2 linked regions of the Caenorhabditis elegans genome follow. The protein of the gene in region 1 purifies or fractionates together with the protein of each later gene. This does not show direct contact. Each region holds a gene or a part of one and is shown on either strand. Other genes may lie near its edges.

Region 1 (4,494 bases):
CGGTTCCCGGGAATTCCCGGTCTCGAAACAAAAAATGTCCGATAGGTTAGAAACTAGAGTACCTCTTAAAGGCGCACATCCTTTCCCACCTATCGAAAATTTGTCGTGTCGAGACCGGGTAGCTAATTTTATGCCAAAAAGCGCAAATTTTCGCGTCAAAGTTTTGCATGTTATCAAATGTTTAATTTCAGGTGAACGTCCATGAATCTCCGGTTGTTCAATCAATTGTCTGGAAAGAAAATGAGCAAGTTCAAGTTCCAGACAAATTTCAAGTTGTATCAACTGTCTTCTGTCTAGAGTATTCATGTGAAACTCTTGAAGCATATTTCCGGGCGGTACGAAGTGCGTGTTCCCTTATTGATGAAGGTGGTATTCTGATTCAAGGTGGTGTTCTCGATGCAACGACCTACAATTTTGGAGGAAAAACATTTCGATGTCATCGGCTGAAACAAGCACATATAATTGAAAGTCTCAAGGTAAATTGTATTTTTGAAAAAAGTGTTTTAAAATATTATTCTTTGAAAAAAAAGATCCACCAACAAGAGCAAAAAATTTCAAAATGTTCCAAATTATTCTCCCAACCATATGATTTCAGGCAAATGGTATGGCGACAACTGCCGAACAAGGATATAAATTCATTACACATGACGACATTTTCTTACTTGTATCGAAGAAACTTTAGTTAAATATTTTTTAATTTGTTGTGTTTTTTTAAAAATATTTTATAAACTTTTAACTATTCAGTAAAGTTAGTACCACTTCCTTTTTGGTGATGGCAATGATGGTGATATTTGACAGAATATCGAAAAGGAAAAAGAAAGTGTTCAGAAATGACCAGTAGAATTACGAGGAGACGAAAAGGCACGACAACCGCTACAATCTATACACATAAACATTTAAAAAGAGAAATACGGGAAAATGGCAGAAATGGGAAGAATAAATAGTTGGGACAATCACTAATTTATCATACAGAAAAGTGGGTTTAAAGTAACCTCGAGTTTACTTTCCATAAGCCTCAATGAGCATTCCAACTCCGTGACCTCCAGCAGCACAGGCTGCAATTACAGCGTACTGTCCCTTCTCTTCCTTCAGTCTGTGAGCTGAATGAGTTGCAAGTCTCACACCAGTGGCTCCGAATGGATGTCCGATTGACAAAGATCCTCCCCACAGGTTGAGCTTGTCCATTGGAACTCTTCCGAATTTACCAGATCGTTTCATCTGCTCTTTGCAGAAGTAATCACTGTCCATCGCGTTCAAATTGGCAAGGACTTGTCCGGCAAAAGCTTCGTGAATCTCAAATACATCAACATCCTTAAGAGTGAGTCCTGCCTTGTCCAGAAGCTTTGGAATGACGTAGGCTGGAGAGAGCAGGAGCTGATCTTTTGGATCCTGAAATATATTGGAAATTAAAAACGCTCGAAAGCTACTAAAAACAACAAAACTATTATAATCTTACCTGTGCAACATACAAATAGTCTCTCAAGTAGGCTTTTGGCTTGTATCCGTTGGCAAGAGCATACTCCTCAGTCATGATAAGAGCAGCAGAAGCACCATCGGTCAAGTAAGATGCGTTGGCAGCAGTCACAGTTCCGTGTGGCTTCACAAATGCTGGTTTCAGAGATGACAGCTTCTCAAGAGTGGATACACGAATTCCGTTGTCCTCTTTGATTGTCTTTGGCTTTTTTCCGTCTAAGAATACTGGAACAACATCAGTGAATTTTCCATTCTTAGCTGCTTCCGAAGCAAGAGTGTGGGAGCGGATTGCGAATTCGTCTTGTTCTCTGAAAATAGAAATAAGTAGACATTAATTAATTTCCCAGAAATTTAAGGAAAATTACCTTCTAGAAACATTGAACGCGGCAGCAAGTCTGTCTCCACTGTGTCCCATTGTCTCACCAGTTGAGAACTCAGCGACCGCTGGCAGTTCAGGAGAAAGCAAATTTTTGACAATTTGTCCTCCAATCTTCAACTTCGATGGAACATCTTTTGCTTTATTCATTCCCAACATAGCCTTTCTGGCGTTTCGATTGTAACGAATTGGCACATCAGACAACAATTCGACTCCTCCGGCGATGATTGCATTTGCATTTCCAGTGGCGAGCATTCCCATTCCAGTGGTCATTGCGACATTTGATGAGATGCATGCAAGAGTGACAGTGTGAGCTGGGATCTTATCTGGAACACCAGCGAGAAGAGCAGCTTCTCTAGCAATGTTACTGGTCTTGCATTCTTGAATAACTGTTCCACAAATAATGTGATCGAGTTGTTCATATGGCAGCTTTGTCTTCTCCACTAGTGCTGAAAAATGAAAAATTAATTTTCCTTATTTACAAATTTCTATACAAACCCTTGATAGCTTCTTTCTGTAAGTCAACAGCCATTAAATCCTTGAAAACAGTTCCAGAAACGACAAATGGAGTACGAACTGCATCGACAAGTACAATATTTGGCATATTTTTCTTGGCGACTGCCGAAGCGGCACGAGCAGTCCCGAACGAAGTGCTAACTGCGCGGAGCATCTTCTGAAAAGAAATCAGATTTAATTTTGGAGGTGGTTTATTTTTGAGAATAAATCTCCAAAGAACAAAAAATGCGTTCAAGAAAATAATTTAACGTACGAAAGAGAACAAAAAACAAATATGGAATCAAATTTGGTTCGCTACGTGTACTCTTATCATTTCATCATTGCCTACGGACAGAAGGGGACAAAGTATTTTCCCTCTCCTTTGAAAGAACACAGCAGAATAATTTTACACCCTTTCTTGATTTTTGAGAATATTAAACCAGACTTACTCTATTTGAAACGACAGCAGAACAAAAGCAACGGATCAAAAAATGAAATGAATTTAAATAATTTCTACATTGAAAAACCAAGAATTTAGAGAAACATTTAAAAAAAAGAAACGTGGCCGATCAGAAAAGAAAAAAATATATACTACAAAGTTCACAAAAAAAAATTCTTAAAAGCTGAAGAAAGAAAGTTCAAAATGTTAAAATCCAAAAAGAAATAATCAAACTAGAAAACAAATACACAATCGATAGATATAGTGTAGGTCACCAACACACAAGATAATAAGTGATGAGAGGAGGAGACGAGACGAACACAACAAGAAAACCTGGCTGTTGTGGCCTCCCATGCGCCGCCCGTCCGTCCGTCTGGACTTTGTACCTTGATAAATTCTCTATGTAGGCTACGGGTAGATAACTAATTTTACAGACACGAGGTGCAAATTGAACAGGAAAACGTGGTATGGGTTTGGAAAAAGGCAGGATGGGAAAAATTACGGGCAGTTTAATTTGAGCTGAGAGAAAGTTATTTGAAGGAGGACGAACGGTTCTGGGTTTAGCGCTTGTATAGGCTCAATATGTGCCAAAATAAACGAATTTCGTATTAAGACTTCTCAAAAATGTATCAAACATTTCTCGGTGGTTCAAAATAAATATAATATTAAACTCCTAAATATTTTACACATTTTCTCGTTTATCTCAAATTATTTCGTTGGTTAAGTAAATTTTAAGCGTAGAGGAATGCAAATTTTGTTAGTCTTTTGTTATTTTAGTATATTTATACAAAAAATCGAGGAAATATCAAATAAAATCAAGATATTCTGATGAAAAATGTTGAAAAAAAAGTTTTGATAAATAAAATAAACTCTCGCGCTTATCGGGTGTACTACGGTATTAAAGGCACATAAGCGTATGTCTGACGTTGGGTCTCGCAGCGTTTGCAATAACCAGCTGGAAGGGAGAAATGGAAATTAAATTTTTTTTAACGAAAAGATCTGTTCCATTGTTATTTTTCTAGTTTTTTCCCACTTTTTCTCAAAAGTTTTTCTCTAATTCGAATACTTTTCGTTTAAAAGTTTGCCAAATTCATTTTGAGGTACATAAATTAATAGCAAAATCACAAATATCACAACAAATACAATTAATTCATTTTTCCTTTCTTTTTTCACTTCACTCAACACCTTTTTCGATTCTTATCTTCTTTCGAATTCTTTTTCTAATCTACTCTCTCATTTCGCCTCTTTATAAATACTACTTTCTTACAGGCTAAATAGTTTTTTTTCACAAAAATAATTTCTGAAAAAACAAATTTTAAATTCTTTTTATAAAATTTAACAAAAAGGTTGTTTTCCTAAAAAAGCGTGCAATTGCCCGTCGATTAGTGCGCTTTCACGTATCGATTCTCTGCGCCAAGGAACATTTTAACCAACACGCTTCTCTTTATTTCTCTCAGTCTCTCAAGCATCATCTGATTTCATATTATTCTTCACTTTATTCTTCATTATTCCAGACAACACAACTAGACAAAAATGAATGCATTAATTGTTAAATCTGCACTCGAATATTTAGAGGTAAGTTGAACATTTATTGATTTTTTGAACCCTTTTCCCATTTTTTCATTGTTATGAAAAAGTGTCAAATTGAAATTGTTTAACTTCAAATCTAAAAAAAACTATTTTCAGCTAAGCACAGTCGTCGCAATATTAA
Region 2 (8,100 bases), on another chromosome or scaffold:
TTTTGGGCATTCTTCATATTAAAATTAGAATTTTACATACGATTTCCGTCATTTTGACCCCCATATCGTCTATATTCCGTGAAATTTCATTTTTGCCCATCTTTTGCCGGTTATATCGATTTGTAATTTTTCTAAAAATTCAAAAATGCTTCAAATTGTTGGTTTTTGTGAATTTTTCAGAACAAAATTAAAATTTTAGACACAATTTCCGTCAATTTTGCCTACATTCGGGGATATTGTCATTTTTGCCGTTCCGTTGCCGATTTCTTGCCGGAATTTTCGAAAAAAAAATTTAAATTTGGCAGAATATAGGCAATATGGGTGTAAAATTAATGAAAACTTTGAGAAAAAAAAATGAAATTTTCTATAAAATAAGTGTTAAAACTTCAGTATTTTTAAAACATTTTAATTTTCCGTCCGTTTTGCCTATCTGTTGCCGATTTCTTGCCGGAATTTCCAAAAAAAAATTTCAATTTTGGCCTAAATGGACAATACGATTTTCATTTAAAAAGTTTAATTTCCTACTTGATCTTCATAATTTTACCCTACATATTGCCTATATTCGGGGATATTGTAATTTTTGCCGATCTGTTGCCGGAATTTTTGAAAAATTTCAAATTTGGCCGAATATAAGGAATACAAAATCCACTCACAGTGTAATATTTTAGCTTACACTAGATCCAAATGATCACTGATTCGCTAAACAGCTTAATACTATTAAAACATGATCACATGATTAATGTAATACAAATTGTACTGTTCAATCACTAATTTGACCACCGATGACGTCACTCGCCCCGCGTGGTGTCTGGAGATGTTTGGAATAACATAAAATGGTCAACACTTCACAATTTGATGAACTATTGTCTTTGAACGGAATTTTATGACTCATTTTAAAAGAATAATGAAAAACAAAATTTGGATCTATGGAAAAAAAATTTTAAAAATTTATTTTTTTTTGAAACATGACACTAAATTTTATTGCGAAATTGAATTTTTGCTTATTGCCTATTTTTGTCAAAAATCCTGAATTGACTTGAAATTCGGCCTACATTCAGCCCAAAATGAAACATTAACAAAACGAAATTGTATGAAAAGTTCAAAAAAAAATTACACAAAATATAGAATAAAAAGAATAAAATTTTGAAAATTTTTGGAAACATTTTTTTTTTTGTCATAATTTTTTCAAAATTTCGAAAATTTGAAAACTAACGTGTTTACGCTAAATTTTTGTACAAATTTGAATTTTTCATCCAATTTCCGTCAATTTGACACCCATATTGTCAATATTTGACCAAATTTGAAAAAAATCGATATTTTCTGCAACAGACCGGCAAAAAATGGGCAAAAGTGAAATATAGGCTATTTGGAGGTTAAATAGATGGAAATTTAGTGGATAACTATTTTTTTTAAAGTCGATTGTTTTTTAAAAATTTTCAGAGATTTTCAAATGTGATAAAGTAGGCACGTAGGCAGGCTTGTACAAGGGTACTAGGCTGCACTAGGTAGTGAGGGGAATAGGTAGGCAGGCAAGCATAAAATAGGCACGTTTGTTGACATTGGATAGGTAGGCAGGCAAGAAGTAGGCATATAAGTAGGCACTAGATAGACAAACAGAACGTAGGCGGCTGTAATGTAGCCATGCACGTGTAGGTTGATAACCATGAGGCAAATGGACCAGAAGACATAGCTAGGCATAATATAGGCACTAGACAGGCAGGTATATGAATAGGTAGCCATGAGGTAGGCATATAGGATGTAGGTATATTGTCATAGGGGTACTCATCATGATTTTTCCAACAAAAAGTGTTCCTTATGAAGCTTCTAAAAATGAACATTTATTAAAAATAAAAATAAATTATTTTTAAAAAAATCACGGAAAAAAATATGACATTTTCAAAAGTTGAAAACAAAAATAAATAATGACCTCACGTGACCCTCCAACGTTGACCTTTGATTTGTCATCAAAACCAAAAACAACAAATCAATCAGTTTTCAATCGATAATCAATAACTTCACAGCAAATATCAAAAATTGTTGGACGAAGCAAGCGGAGCGAGATGAACACTTTTCAATCTTTCGCAATCGGTAAGTCTGAGTAATATTTCAGAACCACATAAAATCAATATTTTCAGTACTTCTTCTCATGTTCTGCAAGCTACATGCCTTCAACAGCACCACTCTTGACCCACCGGACACCACTGATTCTGTAAAAGGTATGTGTTGCCTAAGTGCCTGCCTAGTACCTATTTGTCAGCGGGTTTTTTTGAGCTCAATTGGTGAATGCTTTCTTTGACGCCATTGATTTCTCCAAACAAGACTATGAATTTTTTCTAGAAAAATTATCGATTTTTGAAGGGAAATTATTGATTTTTCAAGAAAAATTATCGATTTTTGAAGGGAAATTATTGATTTTTCAAAAATGATTATTGATTTTTGAAGGGAAATTATTGATTTTTCAAGAAAAATTATCGATTTTTGAAGGGAAATTATTGATTTTTCAAGAAAAATTATCGATTTTTGAAGGGAAATTATTGATTTTTCAAAAATGATTATCGATTTTTTCACGTGAGAATAAATAACGTTTTAAGTTACATGTGTAATGATAATTATTTTAATATTTGCAGAATCTACAAAACCAACGGACTACCTCGAGCACATCACCATCATAGCTCACATTGCTAACGGAATTACCCTGCAAGCTGGATTAATGAATGGATCAATTCCGATTAATGAAGTTGTCGGTGAGATGCTTAATTTAGGATCTGCCAATGTTTCCGATCTAATCAATTATAAACCTGATAAGATCTTGGAGTTGATCAAGAAGTTGAAAGAGGTCCGACAGAGTGCTGCTGCTAATAATGAGATCAGTCCTATGGAAAAACGAGCGTTGGAGTGGGAGGACTATCGTCTCAGGTCCGAATTTATTGGTGATGTGACTAATTTGACTGGAAGTGTGGAATACTTCAATGCAGTTGGAAACTTTCAAAGAGATTTCAATTCTTCTTTGTTTGAAAGTACAGCAGAGAAGTTTGATGGATTTAATGAACACATTACAAGTATCTTGAAATCAAGCTTAAAGGATACATCTTTTCCAATCACTGGGTCGGCAAAATTGAAAGTATTCAATGAGACATTCCAATCATTGAAAGTCCTTCTCACAGAAATCAAGACACTCAATCGAACATCATTTGATATCCTTCACAATGGACCCAATATATTCAAGTCATTGGATACAGTGATCAAACTCTCGGCTCTTCGTCAGAATTACATTGCATTGTACTCGAAAAAAGTAGAAGATGCAATTAAAACTAATATTGAACTGGTATCCGCATTGAGTGCAGTTAACGAAGCATCTAGAAGTGATATGATGACTGTCTCGAAGCTTTCCGATCGTCTGGTTTCAATTCCTTCAAGAAAGTACACTTCTGGATTCTCACTTGAATTAATTGGATTGGAACAACTCACAGATGATGTAAAAAATCAGTGGTTCTTTGAGATGACAAATGCAACTGAAGTGGATGGACAAAGTATTCGGAAAAGCTTGAAACCAATATTCTCTGCTTTTGAAACTTTGCAAGCTGTCAACAAGAAGTTGAAGGTCACTTTTCCAGAGCGTACAAAATTCCAACAATTTAAGGATGAGCCGTACTTTATTCCAGTTAATGCTAATTCTTACATTGATGTTGTGAAAAAATATGAGGGTTGTAACGAAAACGGACATTCAGACGACTATCGTAAAAAAGGAGTTGAATTCATGAACAACGTGGAAACTGTTAGTGATTGGTTGACTGCCTTTGACAATTTCACCCAAACGCTTGACTTGGATCAGTTGGAGAAGGACGTTGCTGCATTTGTAGAATCCTTGAATTTTACTGATATCAATAATGAGACACAATCGAGGATGGAAGTGATCGAAATTGTGAAGAACATAAGAAGTAACAATATAAGTTTGATAAAGATTCAGGAAAGTGTGAAAGGTATCGAGACTCAGTTTAATGCTGTTCGATTGGATAGTCTTCGAAATTCAGTGTTTCCAAAAGTAACAGATGAATTCAAGAAAGACGAAGACTTCCAAAAAGTTATCAATGCCGAGAATAATGTTAACAGCTGTCTTCAGAATGTTAAAAACGAATCTCTGGTGATCTCTGAAGCTATTAAGACAATTCAGAAGTTGAGAGTATTGGATGATAATCTATTGGAAAGTGTTCGACAAACTGCAACATCAGTAGCTCAGTTTTCCACTGTTCTTCCAACAGTTGGATCAATTCCTGATGCAATGAAGAAAGGTGTTAAGAATGTGACACTTCAGCTGAATGAGATGTCTCTGAAGTCATTGAATCAATCCGATGGAATTGGTATTTCTGCAAGTGCTCTTCGAAATGTTTTTAGCCTTTTGGATCTAGAATCTTCAATTAATCAGCTGAAAAGTGTCGATGGAATTGTAAAAGTCGGAATTGACAAGTCTAGTAACAAATCTGAACTGCAAAGTCTCTGGGGGAGCCACAATGATGACATTATCTCATTGGAAGGTGCAATTGCAAAGTCAAAAGTTTTCAAGTCGAAGATTGATGTATCAAAAGCCAAAACACTATCCAGCTACAGTACACCTTTGCAGAACTTGGCTTCAATTCCTGATGTTAAGATTGATGCAGTAAAGAAGTCGAAAGCACTGGAGATATTGATTAGTTCACTTGTTGCATCCTCTGTAAAAAGAAGAAAGAAAAGAGACACTAAATCTGATCTACTTGCCGCCAAAGCCACTCTCGACAAGATCGCCGTGTTGGATTTGCAGTTCTCAAGTCATTCAACACAATTTCAGAATGTTCCATCAGCATTCCAGTCGTTTGATAACTTTTTGCAATTGTTCTTTGCTTCTCAACAGCCAATCAGTGTTCCTCCTCCAAATCCTCAGAGTAATAGTGGTGGTGTCAATACAGGAGGTACTGGCAATGGTACAAGTAGTGGTGGTCCGAGTGGTAATACTGGTACTGGACCGACTGTTGGTGTAACAGCTGCTGTTGTTGGATCAAGCACTGTGAGCACTGTTAGCGATGAGTCAAGTGATTTTCCGATTTGAGTTGTTAAATTAATTTCATAGCAAAACTCAAATGTTCTAAGAAGTGTTTTAACAAACAATTATATATACTGCGACACTAATAATGTTATATTTCAGACTTTCCGTTGTCATTCCTGTGGTCTTAATTCTTGTTGCTCTTGTGATTGGTGGAATAGTTTTTATTTGGTATCGTAAAAGAGAGGAGAAGCGTAAAGAGGAAGAAGCTGAAGAGGAACGAAAGAGAGAGGAAGAGAAACTTATTGCTGAAAGGAAAAGGATAGAAGAAGTGGAGGAACAGCGGAAGAGAGAAGCGGAAGATAAAGAGAAGATTGAACAGCTGAATGCAAAAGTTCGAGAGAAAGAGGAGAGATCCGAGGCCCGACGTAAGCAGAAAGAGAAGGATGATGAGGAAGAAAAGAGGTTGTATGAAGAGAAAGAGAAGGAACAGAGGAAAAAGCAGATTAAAGGAATCGAAAAATGGACCAAGAGTATGGATTTCAAAGATAATCATAAAACGGCCAAATTCTACAATACGACGATCGAAAATGTGAATGTGACAACGATTGATAAAGATCATATCACTGAGTCGTATGCATACTTGCCCAAGAATAAGCACAGGTTTTCCTTATATTTTTATTTATAGTCTCTTTATATCCTTTTTTCCAGATACCCCACTCTACCATGTAAGCCATCAACCGCTGTCAAGGTGATTGTCAATGGCCAGCGAGTCCCAATTCATGCCAACTGGGTTCCGACACCTGGTCATCCACACCGCTTCATTGTTACTCAGGTATGAGCACTTAGCGCACGTACTTACCAAGATTTTTGCATGTTGGCACGTAGGGTAGGCATACGAAAAACACTATGCAAGTTTCAAATTTCTGAAAAGCGGCAATTGTTGATTTCACAGAACGAACGGAACCTCCTAAAAAGGTGCCCATTACTCTAAATCATCGATTTTGATTTTTCATAATTTCGGTAATTATTGGTTTTTGTAAAAATATATATTGTTTCAGGGACCGCTGAAGAATACACGTTATGATTTTTGGATGATGCTGACGCAATACGACGTTGAACATATTGTAATGCTTGGTCAAAACATGGAGAATTTGATTGTCAAGTGTGACTACTACATTCCACCACACATTTCTGAGCCGTTCAAAATCGGACGGTTCAATATCAAGATTACAGATGGGAAAAGTATTTTGAATAAGAAAATATATCAAAGAACACTGGAAGTTGTCGATTCGACGTGAGTTTCTCCTTTTTTTCTAAAATGAAAATGCGATTTTTAGTGGAAAACTTGCGACGAGAACTGTGATGCATTATCAATATGCAGGATGGACTGCACGTGGAGTTCCAAAGAGTCATGCTGAAATGTTTGACCTGATGGAGATGTTGAAGAAAAGCGAGGTTGGTTTTTTGTTGAATAAAATCGATAATTTTGAATTTTTTAGTTTATTGGACTAAATTTGAAACTTATGGAATAATGAAAGGTTACAAAAACAAAAAAAAATATTCATAAAAAATCGATAATTTCGAAAAAAATCTGCCTCTTCCTATATTAAATCCCGAAATTGCATTCTTGACAGAAATAAAAAATGAGGGCAACTTTTCGACACGTGAGTGTCCGACAAAAATGTACAAACTTTGAGCTTTAATAACTTGGCTCATAGCTGGCGCTTTTGCATTCACTAAGTGCGAATGACTCAAAAATAGTTGCCCCACCATGGTCATTATTGAGGGGATTGGTTTTGGGAAGGGTAGCACACTGATTTGTGCGGGTTTCTGGAGACTGCTAAAATTGAATATTTTCTTTGTACTGAAGAGTTTTATGTTTTTCAGTCCCAAATCTTCAGTTTTTCTGACATTTGGTTCCAATTTGTGCGCAAGAGAGAGCTTCATATTTCCAATTTTTTGAAACTATTTTGAAAAAAATTGGCCCACTTTCCAAAATGTAGGCCATCATTCAATTTTTGCAAAATCAAAAAGATTGATTAAACGTGAAAAACTTTTCTACCACTCTCTCTCTTTCTCTATTTTTGGGGATGAATTCGATAATTTTCATTTTTTATTTTTATAACGTGAGGAGAATTTAATCCTAAAGATTTTTCGAGATTTTGAATGTTTCTCTAATCGCATTGAGGACCGCACTTTTCGGTCATTTTGCCCACTTTAAACCTCACTTCCAGCAGAACAGGCTGGAGGCTGGAGGCCTGCAATGCTATTGTTTTTCACTCAAACCCAAAAACCAGGGATGAAGGCCTTCCTCTTATTCTTAAAAACTTTAGGCCTTTTCTATCCCTACTCCCAGTAGAGCAGGCTGGAGGCCTTCTATGAGACGTATGTTTCTATAACTACGTCTGTTTTTGGAAAGGTCAGATAATACGGAGGGCCGCAGGCCCGAATACACAAAGAAGTGTTGGAGATTCGTCAAGCCTATTCTTAGCCCAATAATTCAGTTCGAGTTTCGCAAGCCCAAATAGACGCAGAAGCGTTGGACAACTTTTAGGCCTATTCTGAGCCCAATAATTCATGTTGAGGGCCGTAGGCCCAAAAATACTGAGAAGCGATGGACAGCTGTTGAGCCTATTCTTAGCTAAATAATTCAGGTTCAGGGCCGCAGGCCCGAATACTCATAGAAGCGTTGGACAACTGTTAAGCTTATTTTGAGCCCAATAATTCACAATGAGGGCCGCAGGCCCAAATACATGTAGAAACAGTAGGGAACCGTTAAGTGCGATTTGAAAAGTGGAAATTAATTTGGCCGGTTCAACTCAACACTTGGCTAAACATTAATAAAGCGAATTATTCTTGAGTTACTCTACGCCGAGCCAAACTGCGAAGCCTAGCAAATCTCCGATTTGCTAGTCAATAGTAAATGAAATTTGGTGAAATCAGTTTCAAAAATTGATATGACTCGGTATCCACCGATATTCAATAAAATTGATTTTCAGAAGCCAATCGTGGTGCAATGCCCGAACGGAATCGGAAGATCCATGGCCTTCATTGGAACCGAGTGTCTTGCCCGTCAAGTTGAA

What was found.
Region 2: the proteins of hadb-1 (region 1) and Y80D3A.8 fractionate together in Caenorhabditis elegans (co-fractionation; one large-scale study listed by BioGRID). This does not show direct contact.

What each region holds. Positions count from the first base shown.
Region 1 is NC_003281.10:8,685,645-8,690,138, forward strand, and holds hadb-1 (putative 3-ketoacyl-CoA thiolase), read right to left. Parts: upstream 2,523-4,494; 5' UTR 2,520-2,522; coding exon 2,348-2,519; intron 2,299-2,347; coding exon 1,839-2,298; intron 1,782-1,838; coding exon 1,457-1,781; intron 1,390-1,456; coding exon 1,000-1,389; 3' UTR 715-999; downstream 1-714. Other genes in the region: anmt-1 (Nicotinamide N-methyltransferase), read left to right, coding at 192-476, 596-682; B0303.4 (transmembrane and ubiquitin-like domain-containing family 1 protein), read left to right, coding at 4,317-4,358, 4,470-4,494. UniProt on the Caenorhabditis elegans protein: Mitochondrial enzyme that catalyzes reactions of the mitochondrial beta-oxidation pathway.
Region 2 is NC_003283.11:18,938,581-18,946,680, forward strand, and holds the start of Y80D3A.8 (Protein-tyrosine-phosphatase), read left to right. Parts: upstream 1-2,060; coding exon 2,061-2,088; intron 2,089-2,135; coding exon 2,136-2,216; intron 2,217-2,627; coding exon 2,628-5,058; intron 5,059-5,176; coding exon 5,177-5,677; intron 5,678-5,725; coding exon 5,726-5,849; intron 5,850-6,075; coding exon 6,076-6,311; intron 6,312-6,354; coding exon 6,355-6,472; intron 6,473-8,016; coding exon 8,017-8,100.